2 linked regions of the Saccharomyces cerevisiae S288C genome follow. Changing the gene in region 1 together with any one later gene gives a genetic interaction. Each region holds a gene or a part of one and is shown in the gene's direction. Other genes may lie near its edges. The genes, in order: CYB2 and GPM3.

Evidence for each region.
Region 2: mutations in CYB2 (region 1) and GPM3 together harm fitness more than expected from each alone (negative genetic interaction), as found in Saccharomyces cerevisiae (one large-scale study listed by BioGRID).

What each region holds. Positions count from the first base shown.
Region 1 is NC_001145.3:165,391-169,322, reverse strand, and holds CYB2 (L-lactate dehydrogenase (cytochrome)), read left to right. Parts: upstream 1-2,014; coding exon 2,015-3,790; downstream 3,791-3,932. Other genes in the region: YML053C (uncharacterized protein), read left to right, coding at 1-207; YML054C-A (uncharacterized protein), read left to right, coding at 1,542-1,700. UniProt on the Saccharomyces cerevisiae protein: Catalyzes the oxidation of (S)-lactate (L-lactate) to pyruvate with subsequent transfer of electrons to cytochrome c. Is involved in the utilization of (S)-lactate as a sole source of carbon for growth.
Region 2 is NC_001147.6:221,063-224,679, forward strand, and holds GPM3 (phosphoglycerate mutase family protein GPM3), read left to right. Parts: upstream 1-2,205; coding exon 2,206-3,117; downstream 3,118-3,617. Other genes in the region: YOL057W (dipeptidyl-peptidase III), read left to right, coding at 1-1,840; THI20 (trifunctional hydroxymethylpyrimidine kinase/phosphomethylpyrimidine kinase/thiaminase), read right to left, coding at 3,358-3,617. UniProt on the Saccharomyces cerevisiae protein: Could be non-functional.

The sequences.
Region 1 (3,932 bases):
GAAACAGAAGAGTACATGATTCATGGTTATTTCGGTAACACTAATCGCGACATAACAGGCACGAGTCCTACTGGAAGTGCTAGTATTATACAACACCAGTATCATCTTCTACCATCCCAAAGTATAATTGCATCACAAGCACCCGGTACTGCCATGGCCGCGTTGACTAACAACAATATCGCTAACGATTACATGGATATAGATTAATAAGAAAAAAAATAACTGCAGGAAATGAAAATGAAAATGAAATGGAAAAAAAAAAAAGAAAATTTAACCTATTTAAAATAATACAATGTATTACATATTTATCACGACTGTTTACGTATCTCTACTCAATTTACTTTAAAGGCTAAGTGCTCATTCTGGCTACCTTACATCTATCTATAAAACGTTCAAAACTCAAACCTCACTAGGCCTGGAGAAAAAGGGAAAAAAAATATCTCCCGGGGGCGAGTCGAACGCCCGATCTCAAGATTTCGTAGTGGTAAATTACAGTCTTGCGCCTTAAACCAACTTGGCTACCGAGAGTGACTATTTTGATTTACTTCAAAATAAAGTGTCAGTACTACCCTTATTATATGAATGTTGTCGTAACCTCTCGGATTATATGTAGACAATGTTATGGATATATAGAATATAAGTGTTGGAATAAAAATCAACTATCATCTACTAACTAGTATTTACGTTACTAGTATATTATCATATACGGTGTTAGAAGATGACGCAAATGATGAGAAATAGTCATCTAAATTAGTGGAAGCTGAAACGCAAGGATTGATAATGTAATAGGATCAATGAATATTAACATATAAAATGATGATAATAATATTTATAGAATTGTGTAGAATTGCAGATTCCCTTTTATGGATTCCTAAATCCTCGAGGAGAACTTCTAGTACATTCTACATACCTAATATTATTGCCTTATTAAAAATGGAATCCCAACGATTATCTCAAAATTCACCCATTCTTCAATAAGAATTTACGAAATAAATCCGGTAACCATAAATCCACAGAGCCTCTTATATTCACTCTGTTCCTCCATCGCCTATTGAGAAACGTTGGAATAAAACTCTAAAAATATCATCTAGTTAGTTAGTTTTTATTTTACCAGTACATTGTCACTTGCGGAGGGAGGATGACATAAAGATTGAGACGCAGTCATTTAATGAAGTTTAAACGCGGGTACTTGATAAAGTAATACGATATTGAATCATGACGTATAAAGTGAAATGAACGAATGATTACGTAAAAATGTCGATTTTCTCTTGAGAGACTCCCATAGCCTCTAAGAGGCCTTCTACTACGTTCCATATATCTAAGAATGGGGCCATATCCAGTGGAATCCCAGCAATTATTTGAGAATCACCATTTCTCAGCCGATATTTTAGCAGAATTACTACCAATATCAGGGGGCAATAGTTGATCGCCTACTTTAACAAAAAATGTTGCTCACGTATTAACACAGGCAACAAAAAGGATATTACGCAAGAACGTAGTATCCACATGCCATCCTCCTTGTTGCATCTTTTTTTTCCGAAATGATTCCCTTTCCTGCACAACACGAGATCTTTCACGCATACATCGGAAGGATCACCCCCCACTCAAGTCGTTGCATTGCTAACATGTGGCATTCTGCCCATTTTTTTCACGAAAATTCTCTCTCTATAATGAAGACCCTTGTGCCCTGGACTCTGTAATACTTGAAACTACTTCCTCAATAATCGCTTGGAGACCTACCCCCACGCTTTTCAAACAAGGCGCTAGCAAAAAGCCTGCCGATATCTCCTTGCCCCCTCCTCCTGTTCGAGAGAACTACGACCCGACCAATAATAATGTCATACAAGAACCGCCAAGAACCAACTGCTGAACCTTAGATCTCCAATACTTTCAGTTGGAGTATGTGAATATATAAGTACCTGGTCGACTAATCTTCTTGCATCTTTTCGTATTCTTACATCCTATGTCGCTAATACAGTTCCCGCATAGAGAAGAAAGCAAACAAAAGTAGTCAATGCTAAAATACAAACCTTTACTAAAAATCTCGAAGAACTGTGAGGCTGCTATCCTCAGAGCGTCTAAGACTAGATTGAACACAATCCGCGCGTACGGTTCTACCGTTCCAAAATCCAAGTCGTTCGAACAAGACTCAAGAAAACGCACACAGTCATGGACTGCCTTGAGAGTCGGTGCAATTCTAGCCGCTACTAGTTCCGTGGCGTATCTAAACTGGCATAATGGCCAAATAGACAACGAGCCGAAACTGGATATGAATAAACAAAAGATTTCGCCCGCTGAAGTTGCCAAGCATAACAAGCCCGATGATTGTTGGGTTGTGATCAATGGTTACGTATACGACTTAACGCGATTCCTACCAAATCATCCAGGTGGGCAGGATGTTATCAAGTTTAACGCCGGGAAAGATGTCACTGCTATTTTTGAACCACTACATGCTCCTAATGTCATCGATAAGTATATAGCTCCCGAGAAAAAATTGGGTCCCCTTCAAGGATCCATGCCTCCTGAACTTGTCTGTCCTCCTTATGCTCCTGGTGAAACTAAGGAAGATATCGCTAGAAAAGAACAACTAAAATCGCTGCTACCTCCTCTAGATAATATTATTAACCTTTACGACTTTGAATACTTGGCCTCTCAAACTTTGACTAAACAAGCGTGGGCCTACTATTCCTCCGGTGCTAACGACGAAGTTACTCACAGAGAAAACCATAATGCTTATCATAGGATTTTTTTCAAACCAAAGATCCTTGTAGATGTACGCAAAGTAGACATTTCAACTGACATGTTGGGTTCTCATGTGGATGTTCCCTTCTACGTGTCTGCTACAGCTTTGTGTAAACTGGGAAACCCCTTAGAAGGTGAAAAAGATGTCGCCAGAGGTTGTGGCCAAGGTGTGACAAAAGTCCCACAAATGATATCTACTTTGGCTTCATGTTCCCCTGAGGAAATTATTGAAGCAGCACCCTCTGATAAACAAATTCAATGGTACCAACTATATGTTAACTCTGATAGAAAGATCACTGATGATTTGGTTAAAAATGTAGAAAAGCTGGGTGTAAAGGCATTATTTGTCACTGTGGATGCTCCAAGTTTAGGTCAAAGAGAAAAAGATATGAAGCTGAAATTTTCCAATACAAAGGCTGGTCCAAAAGCGATGAAGAAAACTAATGTAGAAGAATCTCAAGGTGCTTCGAGAGCGTTATCAAAGTTTATTGACCCCTCTTTGACTTGGAAAGATATAGAAGAGTTGAAGAAAAAGACAAAACTACCTATTGTTATCAAAGGTGTTCAACGTACCGAAGATGTTATCAAAGCAGCAGAAATCGGTGTAAGTGGGGTGGTTCTATCCAATCATGGTGGTAGACAATTAGATTTTTCAAGGGCTCCCATTGAAGTCCTGGCTGAAACCATGCCAATCCTGGAACAACGTAACTTGAAGGATAAGTTGGAAGTTTTCGTGGACGGTGGTGTTCGTCGTGGTACAGATGTCTTGAAAGCGTTATGTCTAGGTGCTAAAGGTGTTGGTTTGGGTAGACCATTCTTGTATGCGAACTCATGCTATGGTCGTAATGGTGTTGAAAAAGCCATTGAAATTTTAAGAGATGAAATTGAAATGTCTATGAGACTATTAGGTGTTACTAGCATTGCGGAATTGAAGCCTGATCTTTTAGATCTATCAACACTAAAGGCAAGAACAGTTGGAGTACCAAACGACGTGCTGTATAATGAAGTTTATGAGGGACCTACTTTAACAGAATTTGAGGATGCATGATTATAGCCTAGCTTTAAGGCTACTTTAAAAACTTTTTATTTATTCATACATATATATTATCGAACATTCGTATAACTTAATATCATTCAAAAAAAAAAAAAAAAAAAAAAGAAAACATATACACATATATATTTATGTTTAT
Region 2 (3,617 bases), on another chromosome or scaffold:
TAATTTCAAATCGTTTGGTGACACTAAGTTTATTCCTCGTTGTGAGGTAAAATTCTTCAAACAGCTTTTGGAGCTGGCCAAGATTAATCCGTGTTCTTCTCCGCTCACTTTATCTCCTGTTGACGTTAACCATGAATTCACATCTCATCATCTTTTTTCCACCATCAATGAGCTAATTGATATTGGTATTTACCATGTGGAAGAGAAGGCGGCTCTCTTAGGGTTTCCCTCTCAAGGTTATACTTCAGCCTATTATCTGGGTTTACCTGTGACACCTGAAGATATGGCTCTTTTGAAAGAGCAGTTGTTTGCTGAACTTGCCATCTTGCCTGAAAACACAAGAATCAACAAAGTTGGTGAAAACAGTTTCCAAATCTGGGTTGCCTCTGAGAATGTGAAAAACCAGATAACAGAAACCTACCCCAGTGGACAGATCACATTATCCAATGCTGTAACCAAAGTAGAATTCATTTTTGGTGATCATTCACGTGAAATGCGTTTAGTAGCATCGTATTTAAAGGAAGCTCAAAAATTCGCGGCTAATGATACTCAAAAAGCAATGCTTCAGGAATACATCAACCACTTTGTCACTGGCTCTTCTCAAGCACATAAAGAAGCACAAAAACTTTGGGTCAAAGATATATCTCCCGTCATTGAAACAAATATCGGTTTTATCGAAACATATAGAGAACCCTCGGGCATAATTGGAGAATTTGAATCGTTGGTTGCAATTCAAAACAAAGAACGTACTGCTAAATTTTCCAGCTTGGTTAACAACGCAGAAGAATTCATTTCCTTACTACCATGGTCTAAAGATTACGAAAAACCGATTTTCAATCCACCAGATTTCACCTCTCTAGAAGTATTAACGTTTACTGGATCGGGTATACCAGCGGGCATCAATATTCCAAACTATGATGATGTTCGGCTTAAAATTGGGTTCAAGAATGTTTCTTTGGGGAATATCTTAAGCGCGGCTGCCAAAAGCTCATCCAAGCATCCGCCAAGTTTTATATCGCAAGAAGATCGCCCAATTTTTGAAAAATATCAAAGTGATTCTTTTGAAGTCCAAGTAGGCATCCATGAATTATTAGGACATGGTTCAGGAAAGTTGTTGACAGAATTTACAGACGGCTTTAATTTTGATAAGGAAAACCCTCCTTTAGGTTTGGATGGGAAACCGGTGAGCACATACTACAAAGTTGGTGAAACTTGGGGTTCCAAATTTGGACAGTTAGCTGGCCCATTTGAAGAATGTCGTGCGGAAGTAATTGCCATGTTTTTGCTTACTAATAAGAAGATTCTTGATATTTTTGGTTTCCATGATGTCGAATCTCAAGATAAAGTGATCTACGCTGGATATCTACAAATGGCCCGTGCGGGTCTCCTAGCTTTAGAATACTGGAATCCAAAAACTGGTAAGTGGGGACAACCACACATGCAAGCAAGATTTTCTATCATGAAAACATTTATGAAGCACTCTACAGATAAGAATTTCTTAAAGTTGGAGATGAACAGCACGAATGATGATTTTGCCATCAAGTTGGATAAATCTCTCATTAAAACAGCGGGACATGAATGTGTGAAAGACTATTTAAAGCATTTGCATGTTTACAAATGTTCAGGCGATGTGGAACAGGGAAGTAAGTACTTTATTGATAGATCAACGGTGACACCGGATTTGGCGTCTTTAAGAGACATCGTCTTATCTAAGAGATTGCCAAGGAGACAATTCATACAATCGAATTCTTATATTGACGACAATAACAAGGTAACCCTGAAAGAATATGATGAAACCCCACAGGGTATGCTCCAATCTTTCCTTGATAGAGAATTATGATGTCCTTAAGAGCACACGTTTTAATTAGCAACCTTTGCTGTTGCTTTTGTTCAAGCTATTAGATTATGTAAACAGATATATATTATGTAAGTGTGACAGGATACGACAGCACTAACTGTCAGCGAATTTTGATTTGTTACTTTTGCTAGTTTTGTGTGACTTTCCTTTGTTTTTTAACTTTTTTTTTCAGATTTGTATTATGAGATGATAACAATGCGAGATTTCATTGACAAGTTCGATAAAACAATAGAAGCTTCCATTTTATACATATGTGATAAAACAACCTGCAATCGAGGATTTACAATAAAAGTCTCTTTGAGAGGATTGAGAAATAGTGCAAAAAGATCTACTAATAACGAATAGTTATGACTGTTACTGACACTTTTAAACTGTTTATTTTAAGGCATGGTCAAAGTGAATTAAACTCAGAAAACATATTCTGCGGATGGATTGATGCTCAATTAACGGAAAAAGGGAAGTCTCAGGCCCGCCACTCTGCAAAATTGATCAAGCAGTTTTGCGATTCTAACAATATCTCTTTGCCTCAGATTGGCTATACTTCAAGGTTGATTCGAACTCAGCAGACCATGGACGTTATTCTCGAAGAGTTGGGACTAAAACACACCAATTATGTAATTACTACGAATACAAACATTAAGGAGGAGCTGCAGGACACAAGATTTGAAGGAAGTATGCCTGTGTTGCAAACCTGGAGGTTAAATGAGCGTCATTACGGCGCATGGCAAGGACAAAGAAAGCCAGATATCTTGAAAGAATACGGTAAGGAAAAATACATGTATATCAGAAGAGATTACAACGGAAAACCCCCTAAAGTCAACCTAAACCTGGAAATGGTCCAAGAGGAAAATGATCAGGGGTCCTCCACAGGCTATGATTTTAAGGAGCCCAATAGACACTTAAAATACGGCCCCGAAGAGAAGGCTAATGAGCGTCTGCCAGAAAGTGAGTCTCTTTGTGAAGTGGTCGTCAGATTGAAACCATTTTTAAATAATGTTGTTCTGTCTACCGCCAACAAAATCAGTCAAGAATCGTGTGTTATAGTTGGGCATGGCAGCTCTGTAAGATCTCTGCTGAAAGTATTGGAAGGTATCTCAGATGAAGACATCAAAGATGTCGATATTCCCAACGGCATTCCGCTAGTTATAGAGTTGGATAGAGACAATTACTCTTTTGTGAGGAAATTTTACTTGGATCCAGAATCAGCTAAAGTTAATGCTCAAATGGTTCGTGATGAGGGTTTCGAAAAGAATCCATGAATAGTTTTTAAAAATAAAAAATTAGCGCCATTTTTTTCATGGTTTCCTTTTATATTTCCTTCTTTCTTTATTGATAGAATAATGAGTAACGAAAAGCAGCTAAATAAACGTGTTTAAATTTCTATAAGAAGTTTTTATAGATTGTATAACAAAGAAACTTTTTTCTTATTATTATTTTTTTGTTTTTATAATTCATTATATGTAGGTATATCTTTATCTATTGTGCATAAGCCATCTTATCTACTCGTATTCTAGCGCAGCGGTCCAAAAATTTGTTTCTAATTCACAAACTTCAGCGTAGATTGTTACTAAAGTGTCAAGTTGCTCTGGAGGGTATGTTTCTAAGATGTGGTTCAAAAGTTTTTCACCTTCATCCATGGCTTCACGATACCATGAAGATGCGTAAGTTTCACACCATTCGTGGTAAACGGACCCTTCAGGTGCGGTGACTTTACCCTTCATTTTAGTTAAAGCTTCACCATAACCCATCAAACAAGGAG